Coturnix japonica: one gene and its partners. The protein of the gene in region 1 purifies or fractionates together with the protein of each later gene. This does not show direct contact. Links are inferred from orthologs where the notes say so. Each region holds a gene or a part of one and is shown in the gene's direction. Other genes may lie near its edges.

Evidence for each region.
Region 2: the proteins of CCT7 (region 1) and DCAF7 purify together in Homo sapiens (affinity purification with mass spectrometry; 4 studies listed by BioGRID and IntAct, counting the BioPlex papers as one, with this or other methods). This does not show direct contact. The link is inferred for Coturnix japonica from reciprocal best matches to the Homo sapiens genes CCT7 and DCAF7.
Region 3: the proteins of CCT7 (region 1) and TUBD1 purify together in Homo sapiens (co-immunoprecipitation; 3 studies listed by BioGRID and IntAct, counting the BioPlex papers as one, with this or other methods). This does not show direct contact. The link is inferred for Coturnix japonica from reciprocal best matches to the Homo sapiens genes CCT7 and TUBD1.
Region 4: the proteins of CCT7 (region 1) and PDCL3 purify together in Homo sapiens (co-immunoprecipitation; 4 studies listed by BioGRID and IntAct, counting the BioPlex papers as one, with this or other methods). This does not show direct contact. The link is inferred for Coturnix japonica from reciprocal best matches to the Homo sapiens genes CCT7 and PDCL3.

Annotation. Positions count from the first base shown.
Region 1 is NC_029519.1:81,260,009-81,267,132, reverse strand, and holds the end of CCT7 (T-complex protein 1 subunit eta), read left to right. Parts: intron 1-100; coding exon 101-289; intron 290-838; coding exon 839-936; intron 937-1,398; coding exon 1,399-1,531; intron 1,532-2,633; coding exon 2,634-2,840; intron 2,841-3,820; coding exon 3,821-4,045; 3' UTR 4,046-4,409; downstream 4,410-7,124. UniProt on the Homo sapiens protein: Component of the chaperonin-containing T-complex (TRiC), a molecular chaperone complex that assists the folding of actin, tubulin and other proteins upon ATP hydrolysis.
Region 2 is NC_029542.1:2,155,781-2,163,599, forward strand, and holds the start of DCAF7 (DDB1- and CUL4-associated factor 7), read left to right. Parts: upstream 1-3,643; 5' UTR 3,644-3,884; coding exon 3,885-4,022; intron 4,023-7,819. UniProt on the Homo sapiens protein: Involved in craniofacial development. Acts upstream of the EDN1 pathway and is required for formation of the upper jaw equivalent, the palatoquadrate. The activity required for EDN1 pathway function differs between the first and second arches.
Region 3 is NC_029534.1:6,130,548-6,138,363, reverse strand, and holds the start of TUBD1 (tubulin delta chain), read left to right. Parts: upstream 1-3,519; 5' UTR 3,520-3,680; exon of another isoform or gene 3,681-3,741; intron 3,742-3,795; exon of another isoform or gene 3,796-3,811; intron 3,812-3,904; 5' UTR 3,905-3,927; coding exon 3,928-4,099; intron 4,100-4,198; exon of another isoform or gene 4,199-4,376; intron 4,377-4,708; coding exon 4,709-4,856; intron 4,857-5,251; coding exon 5,252-5,468; intron 5,469-6,084; coding exon 6,085-6,316; intron 6,317-7,079; coding exon 7,080-7,244; intron 7,245-7,816. Other genes in the region: RPS6KB1 (ribosomal protein S6 kinase beta-1), read right to left, coding at 1,025-1,074, 3,076-3,147. UniProt on the Homo sapiens protein: Acts as a positive regulator of hedgehog signaling and regulates ciliary function.
Region 4 is NC_029516.1:120,000,513-120,008,388, forward strand, and holds PDCL3 (phosducin-like protein 3), read left to right. Parts: upstream 1-3,098; 5' UTR 3,099-3,199; coding exon 3,200-3,205; intron 3,206-4,020; coding exon 4,021-4,150; intron 4,151-4,771; coding exon 4,772-4,862; intron 4,863-5,179; coding exon 5,180-5,323; intron 5,324-5,755; coding exon 5,756-5,964; intron 5,965-6,576; coding exon 6,577-6,719; 3' UTR 6,720-6,986; downstream 6,987-7,876. Other genes in the region: histone H2A, sperm-like, read right to left, coding at 147-566. UniProt on the Homo sapiens protein: Acts as a chaperone for the angiogenic VEGF receptor KDR/VEGFR2, increasing its abundance by inhibiting its ubiquitination and degradation.

The DNA of each region.
Region 1 (7,124 bases):
TTTAGCAGAGCTCTCCCTTGGCTGGTGCTGTGGGGTGGCATTTGCAGTCCCATTACAAATCCTATTAATGTGTATTGCCTGTTTTTCTCATGCCTGCTAGGATTACCAGGCCATCGTGGATGCTGAATGGAACATCCTGTATGACAAACTAGACAAAATCCATAAGTCTGGAGCCAAAGTCGTCCTGTCCAAGCTGCCCATCGGTGATGTGGCCACCCAGTACTTTGCAGACAGGGACATGTTTTGTGCTGGCCGTGTCCCAGAGGAAGATCTCAAGCGAACTATGATGGTGAGCTGCTTTGTTTTGGCATAAAGACTTTGGATTTAGCTTGAATGTTGTCAGGCTGGTCAGGCCTCTCCCAAACCAAAACAGCCACGAGTTGCTGAACACACTGTTCCTTACAAGGATGTAAAAAGGAAAATAACACTCATTTTTTTTAATGTATTTTTTGCCCAAATGATGATGATGTAGAACTGCAACATAGTAACAAAACTATTCCTTGGTGGAAGAAATAACTGCAGGCTGATTGCTACTGTGCTGCCTTTTTTCCTCTGCTGCTGAATTGTATAAGGGTCTGTATGTTGTGTGTTGGTAGAAGTTTATTTTCCCTGCTCCTTGCCTGTTTTCCTTAAGCCACCTTTGTGTAGCTACTGAACTCTGGAGCCTGTGGCTCAGCTTTTAGTAACATCATCATCTTTTGCTGTCGAGGGTTATTTCTATTCCTGGTAGCCTGCTTAGATATATGATGGGAGGAAACTAGAAAGTGGGAGCCTGCTGGGCAGGTTTGTCTCATTTGTCAGCACTGGTAATGCCACGCTTTATCTTCTTCCCCTGCAGGCCTGTGGTGGTTCCATTCAGACCAGTGTGAATGCCCTGTCAGATGATGTACTGGGCCGGTGTGAGCTCTTTGAGGAGACTCAGATCGGAGGAGACAGGTAAATGTGCCAGCTGGGAACACACAGCCCTGTGGGAGCATGGGTGATACTGGTTTGGAAAGTTGGGGTATGAGCGTGAGCAGCTTTGAGCATCTCTCTGGGTGATGGTGTGAAAACAAAGGTTGCATGATTAATTCCTTTAATGAGCATGGGGAATGAGCTCTCATTTAGGTCTTACCCCTTTTAGATGCATTTATGTTTCTTTATTCCTCAAGAACCCTGTAGAAGGCTTAGTGGTATTTTCATTCGTAACTCCAAAGCAACACCTTTTTGGGGTCTTGTATATGGACTTGCTCAGCTTTGGATCTTATGGGGTCACTGTGGGGTGGGACAGCTGCAGCCATGCATTTGGGTTGGGAATAATTTCTCTGTCCCCGTGTGGTGTCCCAGTGGTGCTGAGCCTGTTGAGGAGCAGCACTGCTTTTCAGTCTCCTTACCCTTTCTTGTGTCACGCATTGACAGGTATAACTTCTTCACGGGCTGCCCAAAGGCAAAGACTTGCACGATAATCCTGCGTGGAGGTGCAGAGCAGTTCATGGAAGAGACAGAACGGTCCCTGCATGATGCCATCATGATAGTCAGGAGAGCTATCAAGGTAAGGGCCAGCAGAAGCAATTCCCTGCTGGGGTTGAGCAGACACTGAGGCTGTTGATCACACCCGGCACAGCTGCAGCTATTTCCAGCAGTGCCTTCACACCTCAACGTTTGGCTGAGGTCTCTCTGAGAGAAACCCAATGCTCTCAGCCTGCAGAGTGGAGCATGCAGACAAGCAGTGTCTAGTTGATTAACTCAAGTGCTATTCCTTGGCTACGGCAGAATTCTCACAGCTGCATTGCCAGCTGCTTTTCAGGCATGCCTGGTTTTGTCTCCTCTGTTACAAGTGCTGTGACTTAACTGTGCTTGCTGGGTTGTGGTGTGTTCTATAAACACCTTCACTAAGAAGGGGGTTGGGATCTTTTGGGAGTGCTGGGTGGGAATAGCAGGGCTGATCTAATGTGCCTGTTAGCTTCTCAGTCTCATGTGTGCCTGTTCATGCTGCATGTTGCCTCTGTTGGTGACTTCTGGGAAGGGCTGGTGTTGGCAGGTGGAGGTGGGCAGGTGACACCAAGAGGGAAGCCTGAGGCCCATGTGACTGTACTGTACTTGCAGAGTTGCTGGTCCTGCATGATGGCTGTTCTCTGCATGTGGGTATTTCTGGGTTGTGCGTAATGCGTGGGGATGGGTTTTTTTTTCCCCCTTAAGCCTGAGTGCCCTGAGGGGATGGGAAGAAGCATGTCAAGATTTTTTGGAGCTGCTTTGCTTTCAGAAAGAACATCCTGATCCTTTCTACTGAAGCAGATAGGGAGGGAGAAAAAAATAGTTAGCAGAACTTGGCTGCTGAGTGCTGCTGCAAATCTCGTCTGTTCTGAATGTTTCACAACGGGGGGGAGCTTGTCCTGCACAAGGGTAGCTGAGGTTTGCTAGCACAGCCCTGCACACCATCCCCCTGGCTTGCAGGTGGCAGGAAGGAGCTGCTGGCAGAGGCTGCCTGAGGTGCTCCCAGGGGGGTGGTGGTGGCCTGGGCAGTATAGATTCCCCTGGGCCTGATGTATGTGCATTACCCCAGCATGCTGTAGGCCTTTGGGAAAAGGGGTTTTCCTGCTCTTCCCCCTTTTGTGCAACAAAGAGTAAGCACAGCCTGTTCTCTTTCCTTCCAGAACGACTCTGTTGTCGCTGGTGGCGGTGCAATAGAGATGGAGCTCTCCAAATACCTCCGTGACTATTCCAGGACCATTCCAGGCAAGCAGCAGCTGCTGATAGGTGCTTATGCTAAAGCCCTTGAGATCATTCCCCGCCAGCTCTGTGACAACGCTGGCTTTGATGCCACCAACATACTGAACAAGCTGCGAGCCAAGCATGCACAGGTAGGTGCACGGCTGGCAGGGAGAGCCTGCAGAGCTGGTGTCCTTTGGTTGGGTTTGTGGTGGGCTCCTGTCCTCCTTCATTAAATGCCGTGGTTTGTTTTCAGATACAGTGTAGGCTTGAGGCAGGTTTCTATAAAAGGAAGTGATATGTTTTCCCTTTGATCACAGCTGTCGGATGACTTTTTTAGAGCTGGGAGTTCTGATTTGCTATTTAAAAATGCATCGTTTGTCAGGAGGGAGGCTTCTATATTAAACATTGAGGTAATTAGTATAAAAGTTACCTCTGTGATGTGTTTTCTAGAGGAGCTGCAGACTGAAGGTCCTGATTGCTTGAGATCGTTGTCTCTTCATGAAGGTCTTCTCTATGAAGAAACGTTGAGGGAACTGAGTTTGTTTAGGTCGGAGAAGAGAGGGCTTTGGGGAGACCTTATTGTGGCCTTCCAGTACTTGAAGGGAGTGTATCAACAGGAGGGGGGATGGCTGTTTATGAGTGACAGGACAAGGGGAATGGTTTTAAACTGAGATGGGAGAGTTTAGGTTGGACATTAGAAGGAAGTTTTCCACCCAGAGGGTGGTGACGCACTGGAACAGGTTGCCCAAGGAGGCTGTGGATGCCCCATCCCTGCAGGCATTCAAGGCCAGGCTGGATGTGGCTCTGGGCAGCCTGGTCTGCTGGTTGGTGACCCTGCCCACAGCAGGGGGTTGAAACCAGGTCATTACTATGATTCAGGTGAGCTGCAAGACAGTCATGAGGTCTTCTACAACTTCTTGGTGAAGTGGAGCAAACTTCCCATTTTAAGCACTGTTTTCTAACAACTGAGGCTTCATCCCCTATTATAAAGGAAGAAAACTCAGGGAGAATACCTCAAGCTCTTCTCCCTGCCTCTCCTTGAATGTTTGCATGTCTTTTACTTCCCAGTGCACTGCCTTCAGCTCCTGTTATGCCATGTAACCAGACCCTCTTCCCTCCTCTCTCACAGGGAGGCATGTGGTACGGTGTGGATGTGAACAACGAGGACATCGCCGATAACTTTGAGGCCTGTGTATGGGAGCCGGCCATTGTGCGCATCAACGCGCTGACGGCTGCCTCCGAGGCCGCCTGTCTTATTGTGTCAGTAGATGAAACAATCAAGAACCCTCGATCCACAGTAGATGCCCCACCTGGTGGCCGGGGTCGGGGTCGGGGCAGACCCCACAACCACTGAAACTCTGCTCTGTGGCACTGTCCTGACAGGGCTTGGCGCTCGCTTCCAACGTGCAGATTGGGAAAGAGTTGGTTCCTAGTTTTAATTAAGAGGCCGTTTACCAGATGGTCATTTTGAGGGCTTGCAGGTAACCTCTGGCCTTGTTTAATTAGAGTCAAATCTTGGCGTTGGCAGTGGCAGCCTCCTGTGAGGTGTCGTGGTCCAGCCCTTCCTGCACAGCACTGATGCCCTGAGGCTCACCTCGTGCTGATCAGAGCCCTCTCCAACACTGGTGGGTGTGCCTGGGCTTGGTTGGTATTTATACGTCTTTCTGCTGGGGGTTTTGAACCCAGGTTCAAACTCAATAAAACTATGGCAGAGTTTTGGTGGCCGGTTTGGGTTCTTTTCTGAGGTGGGAGCTTGTTTGGGTAGCTTGCAAACTGTTTTCTACCCTGTAATTAAAACTCAGGGTGTTGGGAAGCAGGACTGACTCCCAGTGCATAACAGTGTTTCTAACACAGCTCATCTCTACGTTTGTTCATAGAGTCACTGAATCATTCAGGTTGGAAAAAACCTCTTGAGATTCCCAGTCCATCCACCTGTGCTCTCTGACCATGTCCCCAAGTGCCACATGCTTGTGATTCTGGAAAACCTCTATGGACAGTGACCCCCTTCCCCACTCCCTGAGCATCCAGTGCTTGTTCCAAGAAGAAATGTGCCTAATTCCAACCTGAATGTCCCCTTGTGTAACTTAACCCCACCACCTATTAGGAGAAGAGACCATCCCCACCTCCCACAACCTTCCCATTTACATCTATTTGATGCTGGTCAGTGCTATTTCAGTTCACTTCATGAGCTCTGTAACAGAGATGGTGCCCTCAACAGAAAGGGAGCTGGGAGGAGGACTTGGCCTTCCTGGTTTGTTGCTGAGCGCTCAGGGTGTGCACTGATCTGTGGCTCACTGTGCCACCCATGTGAACCAAGACCCCCCCTCCTCATTCATGAGTGCCTTTATTCAACGCCGAACGATAAAATAGCTCTTTACACCCTTCTTTTTTTCTTCTTTTTTTTTTTTCCTGTAATTCTTTAAATACACATTGTTTACACTCGGCAAAGTTTCAAAGCAACAACATCAAAGTGCGTCTACAGGTGATAGTACCAACCAAAGTGCTAAAACCACGGTCTGCTGCAGCAGCTCCTTGGGGGTCACCTCCTGCTGCCCCCAAGGTCACCCTCGTGTCCCCTCCTCCAGCATTGGGGTCAGGGTGACCATGGGATGGGGGATAGGGACGTTTGGTTCTCCAGACACTGGCACATCGCTGCGAAAGACTAAAATAGACCTAGATTTATTATATAGAGTTAAAAAAATAACTTAAGAGGCCAACTCGCTACCTTCCAGGAGGGGACACGCTGTGCAGAGCGCCTTGGACACGGCTCTCCAGGGCTGAGTTGCCACTAGGAGAAATGCTTGAGGGAAACGATTGCCATTCTGGGGATATACCTATCTGGGAGTGTGTCCTCTGATTATCTCAAAGCAATGTGCGTTGCTGCCTCACTCCCCAGAGCAATCCCACCCACTCCTACCATTGCACATGCCTGTCCCCGGCCCCAGCCTGGGGCTGGATCAGAAAACCCCATTTTCCTGCTTCTGGGCAGTTCTCTCATCTCTTTGCTGCCTTGTGGCAGTCATTCGTTGCCACTGTTCTCTTCATGCTACCATCCTGCTGCGCTTTGGTTTGCAACAAGCCATTTCCAGCTGCTAACATCACCCTGCTCCCCGTTCTTTAGTTCTTTTTAAAGCATTTTGTCATTTGGCACCGGCTCCCAAATGCTTCACTCCACCCGAACCTGCAGGTTTTCAACCCAAAATGATCACACACAAGCTCCCACGTTGCCAACTTCATCTTGGCTCCTCTTAGAGCTGAAAGAACTGCATTGAGAGGAGCCTTCATCAACATTTCTCGTGGCTATTTTTGGTTTGTTTAAACCTAATTCAGACCTTTTTGGCCACGTAATTCCTGTGCCTTGCGACCTGTGAGCCCTGTCAACGTATGGGATGTTTTTCCTTTGCTACCTGCCTTGTTTGCTTGATCGTTGAAATCCTTGGATGGAACCAACCCAGCTATGGCTCCGTGCTGCCAGTTCTTTGATGGGTGCACACAAAACCCAACACATGAGGGAGGCAGAAAAACATGGATTTGGGATGGATTTGCCCCCCAAACTTTGCTGGTGTTGTTCCTCTTGAGACCCCTGTCCAGCCCCAAAGTTCAGGAGAGGGAGAATGCTGCTAATGTTGGCTATGGAAGAACTTTGGGCAAGAAAAGAAAGCAAGCTCCTCCAAACTCTGGGAAGCTGCCAGGACTCCAAGCTAAAGCTGATCACTGCCTTTTCTTGCCCTGGGCCTCTGGATTTGCTGGCGATTGTCATTGCAGAGCCCCAGTGGGGCTTCTCTAGGGTCTGGTATGGGGTTGAGCTGATGTGGTGGTGAAACCCATGGCCATGGGCACCCAGTGGGGCCACGCTGGTGGGATGGGGAGGGAACCATCAGGGAATCAATGAGTGGAAGGAATACAGAGCCATTAATGAGCTAATTGCCATTACCAACCTGGGCAATGAGGGGACACTGAGGGCTGGACACGAGGCTCGTTACCACCATTGTCACCATGTCAGACACCTCCATCCCAGCTGAGAAAGAGGAGGAGGAGGAGGAAGGGAGGCAACCAAACCCAGGCACTGAGAAAAGTGGAGAAAAAGCTCATTTTCCATCTTCAGAGTGTTGAACTTGTTCAGATTTTGGTAAAAACGTGGCTTTTTGGGAAGGTACCGAGGAAAGGTGGATGGCTTGGTCTGATCTCAGCACCGAGGTGGGGTGAGGTTGTCCTGCTGTGACAAAACCCCTCGTGCACTTGGAGGTGGGGACATCACAACACGTGGCCGAGTCACCCTCCGATGCTCCATGGCTGCAAACAGTCTACAGACTCGGGATAGTCTTTAAGCATAGAGCGTATAAACATGCGGAGTATATAATTTTCCTTTAAAATTTTTTTTCTTTTTTTTTTTTCATTTTTTCCTTCTTTGTTTTTTATAGAAATAAATACTT
Region 2 (7,819 bases), on another chromosome or scaffold:
TGGAGCTCCTGCAGGCCCAGCTCAGCAGGTAGGCAGGTCCCTGGGGTGGAGGGTTGAGGAGAACCCAGGGGGGGCTCTGGGTCATCACCTTCTGCTCTGCAGGGGTGGCTGCATCAGGTTCTGCAGCAACTTCTCAAACTGCACGTCTCACTGCAGTCGTCCATCTCATCTCTGCTGTCCTACCAGCCCTGGCATCTGCTGTTCTTTTTGAATAAAAAGGAAAAGCCTGCACCAGAGACACAGGTTTAAAGGCCCCAGGCAGCACCTACACAAATACTCCCATCCACGGTGCTGCAGATGTTAAACTCATTTCACTATCGTACCCATGTGTGTATTTTGGTGTCTCACCAAGCTGCCAGCCCCAGATCTCCCACCTACTCAGTGCTGCCAGGGCTATTACCTTCAATGAGAGCCAAGCCCACTTCTGCCAGAGCTGCTCATTTCCCCCAAGGTTAGGACAAGGCAGAAGGAAGACACTTATTCATTTTTACATTTTCTTCTATTACAGAGTTCAGAAAGGCTGGCACCAGCCCATCTTGCTCCCATCTGTCAGCACAGACAGCTGGCCTGAAGAACTGGTCCGGGTTAAAACTAACTATTGTATTTTCCCCACCTCCAGAGTAGTTTTAACTTTACTCAGTTCCCTGCTCTGGATCTCGGTTTGACAATGCAAAAAATGAGGCAGGGAAAGGCCGAGTGTGGCAGGAGAGAGGCAGCACCAGGCAAACCAGCATCATCCCCAGGCAGCCAAGTCAACACCTCTTCCTACCCAGGGTCTGGCTCTTGCAGGATGCACTGTGCTAACACCAAGCTGCTCTGTCCCCAGGCTGGAGTCCAGGATGTCATCAGACATTAATATAATCCTCCAGCTCCTGCAGCGCCAGCTGTCCCAAGTGCCACCCGCATACAGCCCCATTTCACCATCCTCTCACAACCTGGCCATGTATGGCATCGTCCCACGGAGCCTGGAGCCGCTCACCCCCTGTGCACCTCTGGAGGATGAGCAGCAGATGGCCCCAGGGCAGGTAAGGACATTCCTCATGGCTTAGCACCTTCTGGGCTTCCTTTTGCCTCCAGCTGAGGGCCAGTGGTCCTCTCCAGCCTCCTTGTGTGTAAAGCACAGCTAAGTTCCTTTGGGTCCAGGCAGATCCCAGTGGTCTCAAAGCAGGAGGTCTGCCTGGAGATGCTTCTGCCCAGTGCATCACTGATTTGTGGGCACAGGTTACCCAGTCAGTAAGGAGAGGGATGGATTCCTCTGCTCTGAGGCTTTCCAAGCAAAAAAATAACATGTGGGGGACCGATGGGGTGAGAAGAGTGCTTGCCTACTTTGTTTTGCTTTTGTCATAACCCACCTGTGGTTCCTCTTTTCCTATCAGAGCCCAAGCTACACGGAGGTAGAAAAGTTCCACTTGAAATCCAGGGACTCCTTGTCGAGTGGGCTGCACCTCACTGTGGCATCTGATGAAACCATGACGGTCTATTCTGAGCAGGAGCATCACTCCCCACCTCTCCTGAACCCAGAGCCTCCCCACCAAAGGGCACCAAACACCCAGGGACTCTTGCGGGGCTCACGTTTCCCTTCCCTCCCTGAGCACTTGGAGGCATCTTCCGAGCACCAGGACATTCAGAGACACCTCTCCGACCCAGTTCTTCCTGGAAGTTAGAGACATGGGGGCTGCAAAGCAAGTCAAGAGGAACCTCAACTGTGAGCTCGGTCAGTTGATGTTGATTTTGACTGCAGGGGTAAGACAGTGGACAATGCCATTGGCTCAGGGGTCTAATTTGTAACTGTCTTCTGCCACCATGAAAGGAAGCATAGCGTGGCTGGTTTCCAAGATCAACATTTTCCAGCGGTTCCCATAGAGTAGATTTAATTTGCACATTCTAGTGAACCCAGAGCAGTTCTTTCTTATGGCCACCAACAGGCTGGCTAGGCCAAACAGCACCCATCACCTCTTCCTTGCCGAGGCTTCCTCTCGAGAACAGCACAAGCCCAGTGAGCCACAGCATCCAGAGGGGAGCAATTGCACAGCTTCCAGCTGCAAGGCCATTTTGCTGTCAGCTCTTTGGAGCAGGGACCATTGTGTTGGTACTGGGCCTTGCCCAGTAGAGTCCGTGGGCACTATGAAAGAGTATTCACTGGAGGAGGAGGAGAGCTCCACAGTGCAGTACTGGGGAGAGCTGCAGGTGGGAAGCCCAGGACAAGGACAGATGCTCTCCCTGTCCTACCTGATGGCCACCGAGACACTAAGGGCCAACAACCCCTTCCACTTCAGCACGCTTCAGCACGAGTCCTAGGGCACTGACTTCTCCAGCAAGGCCAACTGCACCTTGCAAACCCCAACACACATCCCACAAATCCCTATATGAACCTGACTGGTCATCGACCTGGACATAAAGCACAAAACACAAAAGCACAATCCCGAAAAGCTGCAAAGTCCTAGTCACTTCAAGTCCAGTCCTTTCTCCCAGCTTCTCTCTTTTGATAAAGGTTTGATAGATGCTTCCTCCTCCTCAGCCCTTTTCCTGGCAGAATCCCGCAGCATCCCATAGGAGAAGCCCACTTAGCACTGCTGCCTTGCCATTCGGTTAGATGCTGTGACCGTCCTAGGCCGCCTGCTCAAGTAACATATTGAGCTCCCTTTGAGAGTAGTAAAACTGTGAGCATCTCTTTCTCTGGAGTTTTAGTGTACACTTTGCTAATAAAGATGTTTTTGGCACCTGATGTGAGTTATAGCTGTGTTTGTAAGGAGGATCACCACGGGAAGCACAGAGCAAGATGCTGACCTGTAAAGAGACCTGAAAGTCACTGAGAATCCTCATCCTCATCCCCATCCCCATCCCCATCCCCCCCAGGCAGGGCATAGATGTGCCTCTCCCCAGCTGATCTTTGGATGGAAACCCCCCCCATCCCGCAGCCCCCATCCCACAAAGCTACTATTTATATCCAAGCCGGCTCAGGTTTCAGCTCCTTGCAGCAGCTGGGACATCTCATCCCCCTTTCATGCCCCAGCCCAGATTGTCAGGAGGCCTCGGGGCTTTATGAGCAGCTGGGGGAGCGCCCATAATCCGAGCTGGGTCTGGGGTCTCCATGGGTCTTAATGGGAAGGGCTAGAGCCAGGCACCGGGCTTCAGCATGCCCAGGCGTTTCGTGAGAAGCAGTGCACAGCTCTGGGTACTACTCAACGCCGCTGCGTACAATTAGAAACGAAACCCCATAATTAAACGTCATGTAATTGTAGATAAGCTCATCTCCACCCGCTACTCGGAGAAGACGGGACTCGAACTCGCGACACAACTGAAAGCCCGGCTGGCTGCCCTTAACTGCCTCGGGTTCAGGTTGATTAGCACCGCTTCCATCCAATCGGATTTCAATATGGGGCGCAAGAACCCGCCTCCCGCCACTGCGACCCCCGGGAGCCAATCAGGTGTCGAGAAGGAGCGCGGCCTCCCTTCTCAGGCGTGTTCAAACTCAACGGTAGGTTATACAGGCAAGGAGGCGGGCTCTCTTTGTTATTGATGGTCAAAGTAACCAATACAAGCCTGAATTCGGCCAAACAGACAGGAGTAGCACCCAATAGAACCAATAGAAGTGTTAATTGACAATCAACACAGCCAACCAGCACGCAGAGGGCGGGGCTAATCGCGTGGCTTCCGCTCCCGTTGTGTGAGGGCCGAATCGGGAACGGCCTTCGCGCTTCTCTCGCGGTGTCCGGGCTCTGGAGCCGGGCCTGGGGGCGCGGCCTGCCCCGGTCTCTCTCCGGTCCCCGCTCCTTGGCCTTCCCCTCGGCTGGGCCCAGCGCTCCAAGCTCAGTCCAGGCCCCATCTCAGCTGAGCCCGCTGCTTGCTCCCCTCAGGCCCAGCGGGGCCCCCTCGGCCGAGCCATGTCGCTGCACGGCAAAAGGAAGGAGATCTACAAATACGAGGCGCCATGGACCGTGTACGCCATGAACTGGAGCGTGAGGCCGGACAAGAGGTTCCGTCTGGCGTTGGGCAGCTTCGTAGAGGAGTATAACAACAAGGTGGGCAGGGGGCGAGCCGGGGATGTGCCCCTCCGTAACAGGGGGTTGGGGGGCTGCAGGGAGCTGAGCTACGGGCTCTGTATTGGAGGCCGAGGGTTGGGGTTGGTGGTGCTGCTGCTCCTCAGGCAGGAGCTTTGACTTGAATGTGTGAGGTTGTTATTCAGCGTGACAGGAAGCTCACGGCCTGGGCTCGAGTTTGTACATACATAAGCTGTATGGGACTCTGTTAGTAATAGTGTGCTCTTGTCATGATGCTGTGTTTGTAAACTGCTCTCACCGGCTCCTTTGCTTATCTCTGATGACGAGGTTGTGTCTTTAGTCTTTCCTTCTATATCTAAGCAGGGAGGCTTACGCCCTTCAGACACCTGAGCCATCCTTCCTCAGCAACCTTTAATACACTCATCTCATGCGATGAACACGAATGGCAGAGAGAGATGAGGAAACAGACATAGCTGTAGAGCATCCTGGAGTCTGTGTGCAGCTAACAGTGCTGCCAAAGTAGTTCTGTGCATTTATATCATGTGTGCTTTGAAGCTTTGTCAGGCTGCTTAATGGAGAAAATTGTTTCAGAAGTTGGTGTTTTGGATTGGGCTTTGAGGTGAGGTGATGGTAAGGCAAGACTGGCATCTCTTACAGCAGCTAAACGAGTGCCCTTGCTGCAGCCCTGGATGGGATGCTCCTATGTGAGCCAATGACCTGGAAGGGAACTTACTCCCAGAAGAGGAGTAAACTCTTTGAAAGGGCTGACAATAGCAGGACACGGGGAAATGGTTTTAAGTTAAAAGAAGGAAGATTTAGGTTGGATGTTAGGGGGAAGTTCTTTACTAGGAGAGTGGTTCGGCCCTGGAACAGGCTGCCCAGGGAGGTTGTGGATGCCCCGTCCTTGGAGGTGTTCAAGACCAGGTTGGACGGGGCCATGGGCAACCTGATCTAGTAAAGGTGTACGTATGGTGGCCCTGCTAGGCAGGGGGGTTGGAACTACATGATCCTTGAGGTTCCTTCCAACCCGGATCATTCTGTGATTCTGTGAATTGCTGGTGAGCATTATGTGGTTCTGGGAATGCTGCTTTCCAGGCAGGTCTGAGCTTGCTGACTTTTCATTTGTTTAAAGACTAACTCCATCATGTTTTCTGTAGGTTGCGCTCTGAGAAGCAAAAGTAACAACCTTCCAAACGTGTTTTTTTGTTTAGGAGTGGTGGAACTTGTTAATTAGGGGTATGTTTCTGTTGCGTTTACATCCTTCTGTTTGGATCATTCCCTGGGGGTTGCTCCCAATTACAATGTGATCAGGTCTGCTTTTCATTTCAGGCTTCAAGTATATAAAGGCAGTTGAGTCAGCAACTCTTTCTATTTAAGAAAACAACAGCAACAACTCCCAGACTGAAAACTTTACACTCCTAGTTGCTGCAAACAGGAATTGTGCGGTACTGCATTAACTCCAGCTGTTTGTGAATAACCCCCTGAGCTTCTTTTGGTCTCTGTGCTTCGGGAATGGCTTGTTGTGTTGACTTCAGGTCCATATAAGCACCAAATGGTATGAGATTTAATTAGGGTATAAAGCAAGAAAGTAATTGTATGAGAATGGGGATTCCAGCCTGGATGCTGCTGCTACAAAAGTGAAGATATGTTCTTTACTTCTATTTTATACTGGCAACTTCTGACATCAAAATACACACAGTAGCACCAACTGGAAGGAAAATGGAAGTGATAATGGAAGCTCTCTTCCACTTTAACTCTCTCTTTGTGTTTTGAAGGCTTTTGATGGCTCCAAATGTCATTTCTGTTCTGTCCTTGCAGTGTTTTGTTCTAAGGAACTGGCTTCTTTCCTTCCCCCTGGAAGACCAGTTCAGAGTAGCAATTCTAGGTTTCTTAACATCTAACCAAATAAGTGGCTGTATCTCTTCCTCATTACCCTCCCATGTGCATTTTTAAAATGGTTCTTAGTGCATTAAATCTTTTCTAATTGCTGCAGCAGAAGCTCCTGGTTATTTTTCTGTTCCTGTAGTAATTACCAGAGCTCGAAATACTTAAGGTTTCATACATAAGATGGCTGTTTACACCTCTGTTTTGGGTGGATTCAGCTCAGTCAGCTGCCAAGCCATGACTTATTGCTGCCCCCAGCTCCCAGACTCTTGGAACCTCTGTCAGCTCTCCCACTAACAAGCTGTATGACATACAAGAAAGCTGATTGCTGAGATCTCTTTGAACCCCAAAGGAGTTTTGTTTCAGCTCCTACACCTGTGCTCATCAAATCACTGGTACAGAAAGAGAGATGACTTTGCTCCAGGGGAAAGGACTAAAATTATTCAGGCTAGGCTTTCCTGAGCTTCTTGAATCAGCAAACTGCTGTCAGGCTTCAGAATGCCTCATGGATCACAGGCGTAATAGCAGGGAGCTGAGGTGTTTGTACGTTCTGCTGTTAATGCTGCTTTGCAGGCTTTGTGGATCAGTAATGATCTGTGGAAAACAAGGAGAGGTTGATTTCAGGATCTGTCTGTAAGGCAGAACTCAAATCTGCTTCAGAAGGAAGCAGTGCTGCACCCTGTTCAGAGCAGGCTGCTGGGTTATGGCTGCATGCTTCCCCTGCTGTCACCTTCTGCATCATGCCTTCAATCAGAGAGCATCCAGTGGGGCAGTTTGACCAGGGAGCTGTTGTTGCTCTAAACCTGTGAGGTTTAGAACTTGCAAGCAAAAATGGTATGTTGCAGATTAAATGGTATGGCGAGAGCTGTCTCACCTAAAATAATTAGGGAATGTCATCTTTTGGATCATGGGGAAGAGAGTTTTTCAAACTGCTGATTAAAGGCACTTTTTTACTTATGTGCAGTGTTGCAAATCAACCTCATGTTAATAAGGTTCCAGATGTGATAGGAAAATCCACCTCCAGTTGCAACCGATCTCGGTGTGTAGGAGGAACAGATAATTATGTGGCATTTCTGGCTACTGTCACAGCATAATTGCAAATCCAATGGAGATTGAACACCCTCATTTTCCCACCAGAATGAGTTACAGGTAGATGTAGAAGGTTTAGATTGTATCATGACTAACAGTTCCTTTCCTCAGTCTTAGCTGGCCTAGACTTCAATTCCCAGCAACAGAAGTGAGTTCTCTGCTGCTTTAGATTTGCTTTGGTTATGGCTGTGTAATATTATGTTGAGCTGAAAACAGCATAAGCAAAGGAAAAGAAATGATTAGAAGTCTCTTGTCTTCTGATTCTGTCCTTGCCACAAGGTTTTCTGTGACCAAGGACAATTTGCTTCCTTTGTAAAATCTGCTTAGGATTTCTGATCCCTAAAGGAGTTAGAAAGCTTCAGAAGGCTGGGAGACACTTGGCGGGTTCATACGATTGCGTGAAGCATAATAAGGAGTAGCTGTAATGAAAAGAGTGCAAGGCAGACATCCAGCTAAGCTTCTAAAAACAGCCTGTATGTTTTCTAGGGGTCATTACAGCGTCAGAGAGATGCATCTTCAGTTTGACAAGGGAAAGGCTGGCATTTGTAAGGAGCATCTCTAAATGGACTTGGAACTGCTGATGTTACAATGGAAGGTCTGCTGAAGGACTTGTCTTGTTGGTAGATACAGTAGAGTTCCAGACTAGTTTAAACGTAGGTTATTAACCATATTGCTAATTGGAGAATATGTAGGAATTGTGCAGATAAACACCTTAGAATGAGTCTGTTAAGCCACAGCCTCCAGGAGGAAGCCACTGCATGGAAAGCTTACAAACTAATTGTAGTGGGTTGTCCTCTTTCAGTTTGTGTTTGGACAGCATTGAACACAGTGGGGCTTTCATCCTG
Region 3 (7,816 bases), on another chromosome or scaffold:
CAAGAATATAAGACTACCTGGTACTTGACAATGATCAAGAGAAAAGTAAGCAAGCAAACCACTTACGGCAAAACTCACGCTAAAACTGACATATCTGAATGACTGTTTTGGAGATAAGGAGGATTTTTAGCATCAGAAACTACAGCTCTGTGTGTGCAAAGCACTATGTTTCAGCTTGCACAAAAGACTATCTGCCTGTATCAAGATTTCCTTCAGATGCCTTCATTTCAATGCATCATATATTTCTGTATTGTACCAGAATTAAGTTTGAACGGCCAACAACTCAAGCTGAGTTGGACATTCCCAAAAGATAACAATGCTGCAAGGTGTGTTTGAGTTTTAAATCACATCCAGCAGTCCCCACAGTCACAATATAACTTCTGTAACAAATACTGTGCAGAAAAAGCTAAAACAAAAGAAGTCACAACTCTGAACGTGCCACAGAAGACTGATCCACAACTTAAGGATGTTTCTAAATCATACTACACTTCTATAAAAGACAGGGTGAGGCCAACACCTGACCCTGCTACAGAAAAGGTAACTGAACTGTTTGAACTATTGCTGCTTTCTCGTTACGTGTGGGACACTGAAAACAAGCTGGGTATCTATACATAAAGCATGGCTAAAGGTAGCTGTCTTGTGCAATCAAATCAGAACTGAATTCTCATCTACTTCAGACTGCTGTGCAAATATGCAGCCAGAGCCTCTATAAGCCCGACAGAACACAGAATGTTCTGCAAAGAGGGCACTACACTCATACTGCAAGTATTATTCAAATACAACACAACAGCTATGTTAGGAGAAACAAGGATTAAAGACAACAGCAGGTTTTGCCAGAATTTGTTTTATTATTATTTTTACATACAGTCACAAACTTTAATGTGAAGAAATAGCAAAAGAACTAAAGCAACTCAAACTGAACAAGAATGACAAAATTTCCTATTCAACTTAACAATGTAACCAAAGTAGAGGCTATACGTAGTTGGCATGAATGGTACAGAACATTTTCTTAGTAGCAACTTACAGGTCATATTGGCCAACTCCTCCGTGGTCCATGCTCTCACTTAATTGACCCTGGGGACAGGAGTAGAAGGAAGATTAAATGCAACATAAGAAAGCATAGTTAAAAATACATGTCTTTTACAGCTTCTTTACATGTGTGAATATGTTTACACATATAGTTTCTGTTACATGTGCACACACATATATGTTTATGTATATATAACTAAACAAGTTTAAATATCAAGAATCATTAATTATGAGCAGAAGACAACAAGCCTAAAAAATACAGTCCAAGAGTTGCAACGCTTCCACATAGCTTAAATTCTGATGCAGGAGGTCTGGTGGTAATCATAGCCCAGTAGTAATAACACACTCTGGTCCTGTATGTATTTTCTGATCAACAATCATTCAGGCAGATTAATGCACAAATATTTCTAAAAAGGCTCAAGCACTTCAACAGCAGGACCAGACGCCATTAAAGAATGCAGTTCAATTTTGAAGGCATATTTTCTTCAAACAATTTTCAGCTGGACCCCTAATGCAAGATAATACCTCGCTCTAAATGTGGCTCTACATGGCAGAAGTGCAAAGCAAGCAGACAGCTGGAAGGAATACAAATAGAATTTAATGGGCAAGCTTCTAACAAACTTCAGACTGTGACAGGTTACATTTTCAGTTTTAAAAATATATACATAAAACAGCAACTGCGAGTCAGTGATGAACAGCTTCAAATCTACAGCCTGGAATCCACAGCCAGAATCCTGAATGAAGTTCGAGTCTGATTCCAGGACAGAGGTTTGCTTGCTCACATCCCCTTGCTAGTGTTTATTAGAGAAACCCAGCCCCCTGCCATCTGTTTCACAACAGAACCAGCTAAATGTGCCCTTGACCCAACCATGAGACAACAAGGAACAAATTCAAAACAGCCACCAACTCAACAAACAGAATAAACACCCATCGCGTTCCCAGATGAATTTCAGTGTCCTTCAGATCCTTCTAAGATACGCACAATCACTACAAAAAAACACCTTTTACTCACACTTTCCTCACGCTCACATGTTCCCCTCTCCCCAGTTCTGTTTTAATTTCAAGTCCACCCTAATCTCCCCAGAGGCACCTAAGTACTGCATTAGGTTGCCACTGTGCACAGAAGCTGGGCCACAAGGATTTTTGTGCTACTCTTAGAACCTGTTCTTGGCAATGCAGGTGCTGTGTTGCAACCGACGTTTGTAAGCCAGGTCCTGTATTGATTATTGGGATAGCAGACAGCATTTCTCCCACAGCCTGAGCACTGCCCTGCCTTCAGCCAGCAGACTCTGCAGCTCACATGCAGTGTGATATTGCAGCTGTACTTTGGGGTGTCTGCTAATCCCAATGACTGGTATTCAAATAGCATAGCAGGAATGCAGCAGCTTAAGCACTAGCAAACATTTAATATATACAACAACATATAAAAGCAACGGTAGCACTAGAGCTAACATAAATAACACTAGATACTAACAGCGACCACGCAAGAGGATACCCGAAGGGGCCTTAAAAGCATCTAAATGAGTATGATAGAAGAATAAATACAGATGACGGAGTGACCCATGTGGGGACACGCTCAGACCCCGGACAGCATTTCAAAGCTTTGCTTTTGATTTTGGCGCCAGAGCGATGCCTGCACGCAGCTCCAGAGAGACGAGAGCACAGCCGCACTGACGTCCCCACATGTGACACCAAACCCCGCTGCCACGCTCGTGCTACAAAACCCACCGCGAACATTTCAGGGTAAAACTCTCCGCCGGAACAAGGCCGCTATTAGCGAGCGGTGCAGCGGAGGTACCGATGGAAGCACCGCAGGGACGGGCCGGAGCTCGACGGGCCGCAGCCGGGGCGGGGCGCGGCCTCACCTGCGCGGGCCCGGGCCTGGGCCTCCGCCTCTCTTCGCCTCAGCCGCTCTGGCCGCCTACAGCCGCCTACAGCCGCCCCGTCCAGCCCCGCCGCCCCCTCATTCCTCCCCCTGTCTCCGCTCCTCCCTGCGGCCTCCCCCACCCGCCCGCTCCCCGCTCCGGTCGGTCTCTCCTCTCTCACCCCCTCCTCCAGCTCCTCATCCGAACCCGCGTCCTCGGGCTGGTCCAGATCGATGTCGAACACGCCCGCCATGGCGCGGGTGTGAGCCGAGGCGTGGCCGCCCCTTCCTCGCTGCGCTGAGTGCCCGAGGCCTGGGCCGCCTCATGGGCCCGCACCCCCCAACTCCGCCACGGCCGCCATCACGGCCGCCCGGCCTCACTGCGCATGCGCCCCCGCCCCGGCTGCGGGCGCCGCGCGTGCGCACAAGCCCATCCTGCGGCGGCAGGTGCCGCACTGAGCATGCGCGGCGAGGGCCTCGGCCGGGCGGCGGGCGTAGAGCTGAAGCTGAGCATGCGCAATATGAGCCCACCTCCCTCGCTCCCGGTACGGAGTTTGCGTAGATTGCGCAGCGAAGCCGCGTGCGTAACGCATGCGTAGTGCGCGCTGTGAAGCGCCGCAGCCCGACGCTTGTGCCCGAACTGCGCCGAGTTCCCTCTGAGCATGCGCACTGCGGGCTGCCCCCAGTGAGGCGCGGCGGGCAGGGGGCTCGTCAGCCTTGAGGAGGGGCCATAGTGTGTGGAACCCGCCCAACCCACCCCCCTGAGCCGGCATCGACCTGATGAGAGGTCGGGGAGGGAGGGAACGGCGAGGAGGAAGGAGCTGGGAGGGGAAGGGCGGCCGAGAGACGTGAGGGGCGGCCCGACAATATGGCGGCTGTGGGGAGCGGGCGGGAGATCGCGGCGCTGTGAGGGGCCCTGTCAGCGCCAGGGGGGCGGGAGCGGCCTGTGCGGGGAGAGAACCTTTGTAACATCGGTTTTTTAACCCCCCATCGTGCTTTTCTTTTGTTTAGGGCCAAACACGAGGTGAATTAGAATGTCAATAGTCACAGTCCAGCTTGGGCAGTGTGGTAACCAAATAGGTCAGGAGGTGTTTAACACCATCTGTGGTGATGTCCGTGGCACGCATGGATTGTGTTCCAAGAAGGAGAACGAAGCCTACCACCATGCCTGTACAGAACGGTTTTTCAGCGAGGCAGAGTCTGGAGGTACAGCCTTTAGGTGCTCTGTGTCCCACAGAGGATACAGCCTTTAGGTGTTCTGTGTCCCACAGAGGATACAGCCTTTAGGTGTTCTGTGTCCCACAGAGGGTCTGTTTTCCTGCCTGGTACTGACACCATCCAAGTTCTACCTTCAGTCTGGAAGAACTGTCCCAACCTTCTGCCTTCCTGACACTGCTTACAACTACAGAAGCAAAGTCACAGCTGGTAGAGTAACTGAGGCCCCAGAGCACATCTGCCAGTAACAGAGCTGGAGACAGGACGTGTATGCATAAATGATCTGCTCTTCCAAACATCTGCTTTTCCTGCTGTAGGCAGATAGCACCGCTGAGTAGGGCCTAGACTGTTTGAATCTAGTGTTATCAAACAAATTGAGACATTTCTTTCCCAAAATATCCATGTCCCTGTTATTTGGATCTATCTTTAGTATTATCCGTGGTTTTCTAGAAATCCAGGACATTGCCACATCCTGTTTTCTGTTCTAGTTGAGCTTATGTGGGTGGATGGAATACAAGTTGGGCCATGATGCAAGTCTGTCTATCTCACATAAACTAGTTGTTATATCAGCACTTAGTTTCATTTCTCTTCCTTATACAGTACCTGTTGCCCGGGCTGTGCTTGTTGACATGGAACCTAAAGTAATCAGCCAAACTTTATCAATAGCTGCCCGGTCTGGCCACTGGAAATACGATGATCAGTCACACTTCTGTCAGAAACAAGGGTCCGGGAACAACTGGGCAAATGGGTATGAATCATCATTTCCAGCTTCACTAGCAGAAGTGCAGGGGATATGAACTGTCTGTGCTCTCTAGGAGTGATACTGTTGCAGCTGTATGGGAAACATTGTTTAACAACTTAAGGTAGAGAAACAGTACATACAGCAGCAACATTACTACGCTGCTTTTTGTAAACTGAAATTGGTATTTACAGGGATAATGTAATGGTTTAGAATATGTTTAACAATAGGTTATAAACAGCTGTTTTGCAAAATAAATGCCACAGCTGAGGATTATTTACTACAAGTAGAATGAGTGACACAATGCCAAGTTATATCCATAATACAAATAAAAGTAGCCTTTATAAATAGGCTGACCTTACTGCCTCTACATCACCTGCAATTTTTTTTTCTTTATTCTACAGTTACTCTGTTCATGGGCCTAGAAACAAAGAAGTAATCATGAATCTGGTACAAAAAGAAGTAGAGAAATGTGATCGACTCAGTGGATTTTTCACAATAATGAGCATGGCTGGTGGTACAGGTTCTGGCCTAGGAGCATTTGTGACTCAGTGTTTAAGAGATGCTTTTCCAACCTCGTTTATACTAAACCACGTTATCTGGCCCTATGGCACTGGTGAGGTGAATGTCATTTTTCCCAGAGATATTTTGCAAGATTACAATTGTGATCACAGAGGACAGGAAACTTAAATAAACGGTTTGCTTTTTATGAGTAAAACAAAATATCTGCAACTGAAATAAACTAGAAAAGAGAAACACTTTATTCTTTGAACATTCAACATGATGCAAAGCAATTTGTTTGCCTCATATTTGGCATGTGTTGTCTCATTTTTAATCAAAATGTTCAAATTCATCTAAAAATCATGGATATCTCAAGCTTGTAAGAAAACATTTAAAATCTACTTATAAAAGCACTATGATATAATGCAGTTTCATGAGAAGCTCTACTAGCTATCTAGAAATCTCCTGTTATGACAGTATCAGAGCATGGCAATCAGTTCCCAGACAGGTTTCATTCTGAACTGAGATGAGTAACATGATTTTCATAGGTCTTGCTCCATTTCCATGAAAAAACTGTGCCAGCTCCTGACCTTATTCTGCCCTTTGGCAAAGAAAATGAATCACTTCCTTAAGCACAACTGAGTAAATGACAGTAGCCATAGTAATATATTAAAATGTAGAAAGAGATCAAGTGGTTTGACTCTCATTTGTTTGGTTTTCTTTTTCCTTTTTCCAGGTCATTGTTCAAAACTACAACTCTGTTTTGACTCTGTCACATCTGTATCAGTCATCAGATGCTCTTCTTGTTCATGAAAATGATGTCATCCACAAGATCTGTGCTCAGCTGATGCATATTAAACACATCTCCTTCAGGGATGTAAATCAAGTCATTGCACATCAACTGGGGAGTGTTTTCCAGCCTGCTCACACAGCAGAATCTGGCTTACACTACAGCAGAAACCCCTTAGGTATCTAACTGTACTATAGATACTTAAGGCTTTCTCACACATCTTTCTGTAATCATTTCATTTTTGGGAATTTAAGTTCTTCAGTCTCTTTTACTCAAGTATCTGGATATAACCCAAGGCTTAAGATGGTAAAAAAAGATAGGAAAGCAAAAGACTAAGTTAGTAATTCAACCCTAATTTTATAACAGAGTCGAAAATAGACACCCAGCTTCTGGTTTCATTCTTTACCAAAAGACTCATGTTCCTCCTTTTTCAAATGACTACCCCCCTTGTACTTACTTACCTTTCAGAGGAAATTTCTGCCAGGCAGTAATTTTAGACTGAGTTTTAACATTTAACATTAGAAGTTTGTACAAACAAAATGCTAGTTTTGTGTTTAGCTCAGAAGATACACTAGCATGCAACTTGGTAGCAGCAAGCAGCTGGCTTGCCAAGAATCTGCTTGTAAAATGAAGCTCTCATTTTCCTTTCCATCTCTTCAGAAGTATAGAAGGTCTTTAAGATTTGAGTCAGATTCAAAGGAGGACAAGTCTAAATTGGAAAATAAGAGCTGTTAACTTGCTTGTATGAAACTCAGTGGCAGGTTGTAAATCTTTGCATTTTGTCAGATGCGTCTGTGTATTTGTTAAACTGTACATATTCTGCTTTCTTACCTTAAGTTACTAGATCTCTCTAAAATTCCTCATGCTCTTCTCCTTTTTTAAGTAGCCTATGCAATATTTCTATCAAACATGAGCATCTGTCATTTCTATTTATTTTTCAGGAGACTTAATGGAGACGTTAGTTCCACACCCTGAATTCAAGATGTTGGGTCTCCGTAACATACCTCAGATGCCTGAAAACTCCCTCGCATATAGCACATTCAGTTGGCCTGGGCTCCTCAAACATCTGAGGCAAATGCTCATTGCTAACGCTAAAATGGAGGAAGGTAAGAAGCACTCATTCATCCATCACTCTTTAAGTATCCCTCTTTACAGCTGAAATAAAGCTTACTGTTTTGTGGTGCTCACTGACTTCAGTCGCTCTGTTCAGAAGCAAGCTGCTGCCCTCAGACAGCAGGAATTTGCCTCCACATAGCCAGCTGCTTCTGCACTATTCACTCAGCTGCCACTCTTGGCTTGCTCATGTTTTTGCTCCCAGACATCTCAGTTAATTATAACTATTGAAATATGCAAAACGACAGTTTTTGGTCGTGCACTTAATTTACATGATTCAATTTGGAACATCTTTTGAATCATTTGTTTTGCTATGCTTTTTCTTGGTACACCTACTAATAAAAATCATATGCTCAGCTTTCCGATATCATTTACATTGAGAATTCAGCAAAGCTTCCACGTATGCAAAGAATGGGCTGGCAGATTGCTAACTATAGAAAAAAAAGTATCAGTTTCTCTGCTAAGATTAGTGACTACCAGGAAAACACTGCTGGCCAAGCTTGATTTTCCTCTTAGAATTGTGTAATTACTGCTTAGCCAACATGCAGAAACTACAAACCCTAGT
Region 4 (7,876 bases), on another chromosome or scaffold:
AAAGGAGAACAGAGTTGCTTTCCAGGAACTTTTATTACAATCTTTAAAAGTACATTATAAAAACAGTGGAAAAAACTACAAAGAATTAAACAAATTAGAGCTGAGTCCCATTATAAGTGCATAGATCAGACCAGAAAAAGCAAGTTTCACTGGCTACCGGGCTGTTCCTGAGACACATTAGTACTTTTGGGCGTTCTCTTGGGAAGGAGCTGGGGAAGGATATTGGGCATAACCCCTCCTTGAGCGATGGTCACACAGGAGAAGAGCTTGCTCAGCTCATCATCATTCCTCACAGCCAGCTGAATGTGTCGAGGCAGGATCCTGGCCTTCTTGTTGTCCCGTGCAGCATTCCCTGCCAGCTCCAGGATCTCTGCAGTCAGGTATTCCAGCACAGCAGCCATGTAGACTGCAGAACCAGGGCTGATCCTTTCAGCATAGTGGCTTCTCTTAAGGAGCCTGTAGACTCGACCCACAGGAAACTGCAGACCAGCCAGGACTGACTTTGCTTTCTTTGGTGCAACTTCAGGCTTGCCAGCCACTGCAAGTTTCTTCCCCCGTCCAGACATTCTAAATAGCACAGAGAGACAAAGAATTGGAGGTTTTCACACTACCCAGGTGCTTTGGATACAGGTAACTGATAACAAGAGGAGATAACAGCAAGGATAGTTACACTTTCCACTCTTCTATACCAAGCAGAAAGCTTGTAGGAAGAGCAACCTACTGAAGTTCATTAAGAATAGATCTAGGATAACTGCTACTTAACAGCCAGTTTTTGAATGAGCCAGAGTGGTTTGAAAAGCAATCAGTAAAACTTACTGAAGCAGATGCAAAGAGCTCAAAAAAAAGTTTCTCAGTATTTAGAGTGTACTGGAGATTGAGGCAAGATGGAGGCAGGACCTCACACAAGGTTTGTCTTAAACAATAACTTACCTCAATACTAGCTAAAGACCAAGGCTACCCCTTTTTTCCAGGACTCTGCATTCAAACTTCTGTTATTACATTAGATTTTCTGAATTTGTATTACATACAACACCTCAAGCACTCACACAGCCCACTGTAGTCTCTAAACTCATCCCACAATAGATTCTGTAACTGCCATAAGTCTATGGAGGCTACTCTACATCAGAGAGAATGAATTAACTTTGACAACATACATGATAAACATAGATATTACTGTCAGTTTACTAGAACTCTAATCAAGAAATTCAGTCCAGCTAAAGAATATCCACAGTTAAAGTAGAAAACATACTTAATTCTCTTATTTACTCAGACTTAAAATACTACTTCTAGCACAACTGTTTATAATATACAAGAACATCTATTATTAGGTTAATATAGTTTGTGTAGCTTTTAAAAAGAAAAACTTAAGTATTTACAAGACAACAGAATAAAGTTTAAAAGGGAAGAAGCAAAACAAAAAACCCACCCCATAACAAAGCCTAAGCCAAGCCAAAGCTTATTACCCCCACCAAACATTTTCTGATAGCTTACACTGCAGATATACTATGCTACACTCACAGTTTCTCTACAAAGTAACCCCAACTTTTTCCCTAAGCATCAGAGAAGAAAAAAAGATATCCTGTTACCTTCCAAAGAGCTGTTGTAGCCTAATCTTCACTTTGCTATAGGCCACAGTCAAAGACAAACAATCCTCAGGAACCCATTTCCCTTAGCCTGGAGCAGTGCCTTTTATGAGCAAGATTTTCTCCCCATTAGTGGGCTCACCTGGACAATTAATGAGTCATTCCCACATGTGGCTCATCTTCCTCCAAACACTTGATTGGAGGGAAAAGGAAGAAATACAGACACCCTGAGGTAAATCCTTCTTGGAGGGGGCGTGGAAGCCCAAGTTGTCTTCAAGGGCTAAACTACACCTGTAGCTCAGTCTTTGTGATAATATCAGCTCTTAGTTGTTGGGGATGGAATGTTTCTGTTCATGTACCACGTGTAAAAATTAATCCTCACTTTCCTGCTAAGGCTTTAGATAAGTATATAGAGGAAATGTGAGTTTTAATCAAGTTGTGTGTGGGGAGGAAGCAGAGTACTGTGGGTGCCTTAGGCAGAGGAGGCCCTTCAGCACCTGAAGTGATGTGAAGGGGATGCTTCTAGGTGTGAGCTTCTCTGGTAACTCACAGCTTAATCTGAAAATATGGGCTTCTGGTGCTTGGGGTCAGGGCAGGAACTCTTTTCATTCACCTTGTAAATAATGAGTGTACTCTTTCTGCTTATGCCCTTTTTGTAGTTGTTTCTAGGTGCCCAAAACAGGTTCCAAGAGCAATGTGCAAGAACCATGCATGTGAATGGTATTTTCAGCTTCAGAAGATGAATATTTAACCAGCAAGGGCCCTCTTAAAGCTCAGGCCCCAACAAAACATTTGTACACTGAAAGCTATGGAAACAATTAAGCCTTCTATTCTGCTTGCCGGGTGTTAACTGTGGGTCAGAACTAAAATACTGTGATTTATAGAGAGGGCCTGCAGTAGATTCACAGAATCACAGAATTGTAGGGGTCAGAAGGGACCTCTAGAGATCATCGAGTCCAACCCCCCTGCCAAAGCAGGTTCCCTACACCACATTGCACAGGTAGGCGTCCAGGCGGGTCTTGAATATCTCCAGAGAAGATATTCACCACTTAGACAACCCCAGCTTCCACAATGATGGACATATGGTGCACATAAACATTGAGTGTTCCAATCCTCCAGGGCTATAGGACACATTCCATGCATCCAAATATTCATTTTAATGATCACTGTCAACTGCAGCTGTGGCTATCAATCTCAATGTGACTCAAAGTGACTATCTAGGTATCACCAGAGGGTGGTCGGGCACCTCAGGTCAGTGATCACAGCCCTGAACTGCTGGATTTCACTCCTTTCTCTCTCATTTGGAAAGGACTGTCTGGATTTTCACACAGCTCGCTTGCAACAGGCAGACGAGAATCCCTCAGAAACCCACGGTCTGTAGCTGTCTGTCACAGGCTCAGCATCACCACAGCAGAAGGAACCGAGCCCCCAATCGGGCCTATACCGAACTGACGGCAGGCCCTGCCTTATTAGGCGCTTATTAGGCTCCGGGAAGCGGCAGTGGCGACACCGCCCTCGCCCCGCCCCGTCCGCCAGCCCCGCCTCGCCGCGCCGCGCACGCCGGGACCGGCCCTGCCCAGCCCCGCCGCTCCGCAGGCCGCTGTCCCGCAGGCAAGATGCAGGTGAGAGCCGGGGGTCGTGGCGGCCTTGCCCGGCCTTGACCCAGCCTCATAACGCGGGGGAGCCTGGTGGAGCGATGTGCGGAGCCGTATAGGCTGCCGGCCCCGGGTCTTTCCGATGCTCCTCCCCGAGCTGGGCTGCGGCCGTGCATGGCGTTGTGGGGCGCCGGGTTGGGCTCTTGTCTCTTAAAGGGCAGTATGCGTTTTGCTGTTGAAGTAAGCAGGTGGGTGCGTGGTTTAAGCACTTCTGCGTGTTGATAGATGACAGGAGTCATCTATTTTAGCCTTGAGAAAAGAAGGCTGAGAGGGGATTTGATCCAGGTTTATAAATACCTGAGGTGTGGGAGCCATAGTGGTGAGGCTGGTCTCTTTTCAGTAGTGCGTGGGGACAGGACTAGGGGTAATGGGATGAAAGTACAGCATAGGAAGTTCCGCATGAATGTGCGGAAGAACTTCTTTACAGTGAGGGTGAGCCTGGAAACAGGCTGCCAGGGAGGTGGTGGGTCTCCTTCTCTGGAGATATTCAGACCCGCCTGGACGCCTCATCGTGTGGAGTGGTGTAGGAGCTGCTTTGCAGGGGGTTGGAGATCTCTAGAGGTCCCTTCCAACCCCTACAATTCTGTGATTCTGTGAGTGTTGAAGAGCCCTTAGTGCACAAGTAGTGTGTCTTGGGAAGCCTTGGTGTCAGGAGAATGTGTGCTGTGACTTTATGATGTTGTCCGCATCCAGATGGTTACACTTCATCACTGTGCTATGTCTTGCTTGAACGTACCAAAGCTCTCCTAAATACCAGTCATCCATTTCTTGTTTTACTGTAGGACCCAGAGAAAGACACTGAGTGGAATGACATCCTGCGTAAGAAAGGGATCCTTCCTCCGAAGGAAAACCGAGAAGAGCAGGAGCGTGCAAAGGAAGAAGAGCAGTTTGAAATCCTTCAGAAGTCTCTGGGTGAGCCCATGTGCCTGTGAAGCAACGTGTCCTCTTCTTAACCTGTGAGGGATCACAAAGTCACAGAATGACCTGGGTTGGAAGGGACCTCAAGTATCATGAAGTTCCAACCCCCCTGACTGGATACCTGAGCTAATTCTTCTGCAGGGCGATGTGTCTGTTAACAGTATCAGACAAATACGTTCCAGAATATATGGCCTCTTCCAGAGCAGGAAGACTCTCTTCTTGATGACAACTCCATGATTTTGAAACATATACAATTAAAACAAGAACTGTCTCAGAGGAGTATGTCATATGAATGTACAGATAAAACACCTCACAAACATTGTATGTGTACTCCATTATTCAGCCATCCCTGCTGTATTGTATGTTTGTGCTGAAGTCACAGAGCTTGAAAGCTAGCTGTGGTATTTACGTATCAGTGTAGCCAGCCTTTGGCTTAGAATCACCGTTGTCTTTACATCTATATGTATAGAGTACATAATGTTATCTGAAAAGGTAGTGTAATGTTGGAGGGGAAAAAAAAACATGTCTCATACCTAAATTCTGTTCGACTGAAAGGCTGATGAGTTTTGTTCCCAGAATGAGATACTTGCTGATATGATACTGCTTCTTTTCTAGTGAAAACATATGAGGACATGACTCTGGAGGAGCTAGAAGAAAATGAGGATGAATTTAATGAGGAAGATGAGAGAGCTATTGAAATGTACAGGTTAGAGCATCGTGTGGAACTTGCTTTATTGAAATCTTTCTTATTTTGCTTGTGTATCTCTTGTTATTTCTACCGTCCGGCTTCATAGCATAGCATCTGCAGAGGAAACATCAAATTCCTTTCATGGAGCACAACTGTATTTGCTGCATATTGATAGATTGAATATGTGGTGCAAATATAACAATGTCTGTAGCCTACTTCAACTTGCTTTTATCACTTTGGAGTTTCAACGTGTTTGTAACCTGCCTCTAAGTTTCAGCCAGATACTTTTAATGTATCTATTTTTAAGATCTCTTTCCCATTCTTTGTTGTTCCAGACAGCAAAGATTAGCAGAAATGAAAGCGGCTCAAATGAAGAATAAATTTGGAGAAGTTTTGGAGATTTCTGGAAAGGATTATGTTCAAGAGGTTACAAAAGCTGGGAAAGGCATATGGGTAGTCCTGCACCTCTACAAACAGGGGTAAGATCTTATTTAACCTCTAAACCTTTCTTGGCTCCTGACAAACGTGTAGTTAACGTGGAAACTGAGGAACTCAATGTGGAGTTAAGGGAGTTACTAGTAATTTGCTTTCTGTTGGCTTCAAGAGAGTTGAGCTTTGCTGTTAAAAGGATGTTACCATGAAGTGATGCTGCTGGTATCTTAATTAAAAACGAGCAATTAAAGCAATTAAAATGAACAAACAAACCAAAGATAAACCACACTAAGTTTACTTAGTGGTACTAAGTTTATTTGGATGCTGGAGTATTGAACAACAGAAGTAGTCAGAGGTTGTTTCTGGTACATTGATCTTCCCACTGAACTGTTATTTCTGACTGGTTTGTCTTCTGGAGAAGATTGCTATCAGATGAGTCTTTTTTAGTTCTTATGTGTGTCTCTGTCTGTTCTTGGCAGAATTCCACTCTGTGCCTTAATAAACCAACATTTAAGTGGACTTGCAAAAAAGTTCAGAGATGTGAAATTCATCAAAGCTATCTCTACCACCTGCATACCCAACTACCCCGACAAGAATCTGCCTACGATATTTGTCTACCTTGAAGGAGACATCAGAGCTCAGTTCATTGGGCCTTTGGTGTTCGGTGGCATGAACTTGACGAGGGATGGTGAGTGTCTGCATCCATCTGCTGTGAATATCTTTGTGGGAAACTAAAGAAGTTATGTGAGAATAAGGAGAATGGAGATCACTAAGAGCTGCATGATGATAATCGTTATCTTCCCTCCCCACCTTTTGGCTCAACAACACATGATTGAAGTGATATTTTAAAAGCAGCAAGTGTAGGCCAATGTAAAGGTACTTAGAAAGCTGTGGTTTGCAGGTTGGCAGGGAATAGTATCATAAAGTTGTGCTTGGAGACAGTTGTGCAATGGAAAAGGCCCTACCTGTTGGAAAGTAAGTGGAACTGATGCAATTCCTGGACTTAATTAGAGGTAAAGGGATACTTGTTGGCTTGTCAACAAAGAGGGAGAGAGTATGGCCCTGGTTTTGATGATGTTCGTGGTAGGGTGATAAGAGAAACCATCTGGAGAAACAAGTTGGGAGGAACTGAGGAGTATTGTCAAGATCTGATGTCCTTTTCTCTTTTGAGAGTAAATCAGAAAGGTGAGGAAATGTGTGTCGAGGTAAATTAATAAGCATATATCAAAAGGAGTCAGAGATGGAAATCAGCCTAGTTTGCTTCCCCATATTCATGGCACTCTTACTTTGCTCTGTGCAGAACTGGAGTGGAAGATCTCGGAGTCAGGTGCCATCAAGACAGACCTTGAGGAGAACCCCAGGAAACAGATCCAAGACCAGCTCATGTCCTCCATAAGGGCATGCGTCCCAACCAGGGGAGAGAGTGACTCAGAGGATGACTAACTCCTACATCAGCATCGGGGTTGATACAATACACTTACAGACAGTGTTCCTGCCCAAAGGACTGGAGGTGCTCATCAAGATCTTCCTGAACCCCAGAAGGGGAGCATTTCAAGGCACCTTCACTTGAGATTGTAAAAGACTTTTTGTATTACAGAGCCTGAGTAAATCTTACTCCAAGTTTTAAAATACAGGTATTGGTAGATACTAAAGTCTGTTGTTGTTATTTTATTAATAAACTGCTGACACTTTATTTTAAAGCATAAAATATGATCTGGCCTAAAGTGTAATGGTTTGAGTGTGTTAGTATAAATAATTGATCTTAAACATGGTGAGTTACAGCATGGCACTGAATTTGGCCTTCTGTTAGCCTGCCCTGTGTAGATGCTGGGTGGAGAGTGTGGGCGGTGTGTAGAGCTCTTCAAGGTAAAGAAGTAATGACTGAAGTCTTAGTTCAGCTCTATCTCTTCCTTTCCTGAATTACAGCTCTTCTGACACTGAGCTGTGTGCTTATTTTGGATTGGAACAGTAGACACTGATGAAATCTTGAGATCTGCATGAGGATTTGAGTGTCACATCTTTTTGACTTTTGTTTCTTTGGTAAAACAACTAAAACAACACTGTGGAAGTGAGCAAAACGCAGCAGGATGCCAGCTGATAAATGTTGGTTGTTACATGTTGTATGTACTGACACACTTCTTGACACTGGGCTATCCAAAATGCTACCAGACCTGAGCCTTTTTTGCTGCTTGCCTGTACAATCTAGGAAAAGGATCGCTTTTATTCTCCAAAGGAAAGCCAAGAAATTACTTCTCTAGGAGTCATTTAAGCAGATTCTAGCAGAAGTCTGCATGGCTTTTCTTTGCTTGCCCTTGTTTAAGTGTGTATTGTTTCATACCTTGAAATGAGCTCTAGTATATCAGCTGGGCTTCTTTAGGAGGGTGCTAACTGGGAGGAGCAGCCACCAAGGGGCGTTTGATCCAAAAAGTAAGGCAAGAGCTGGTCTGAAATAAGACCCTCTGTGAGATGGTTTGGAATGAATGTCATATCCTCAGCCTTTCTCTCTCCACATTGGCTGCTGTTAGCAGTTCAGCTGTCTTAGCGCAGGCACAGCTGCCATACTCTACTCAATTTATTTTTAAAGCTTATCAACTTTCTAG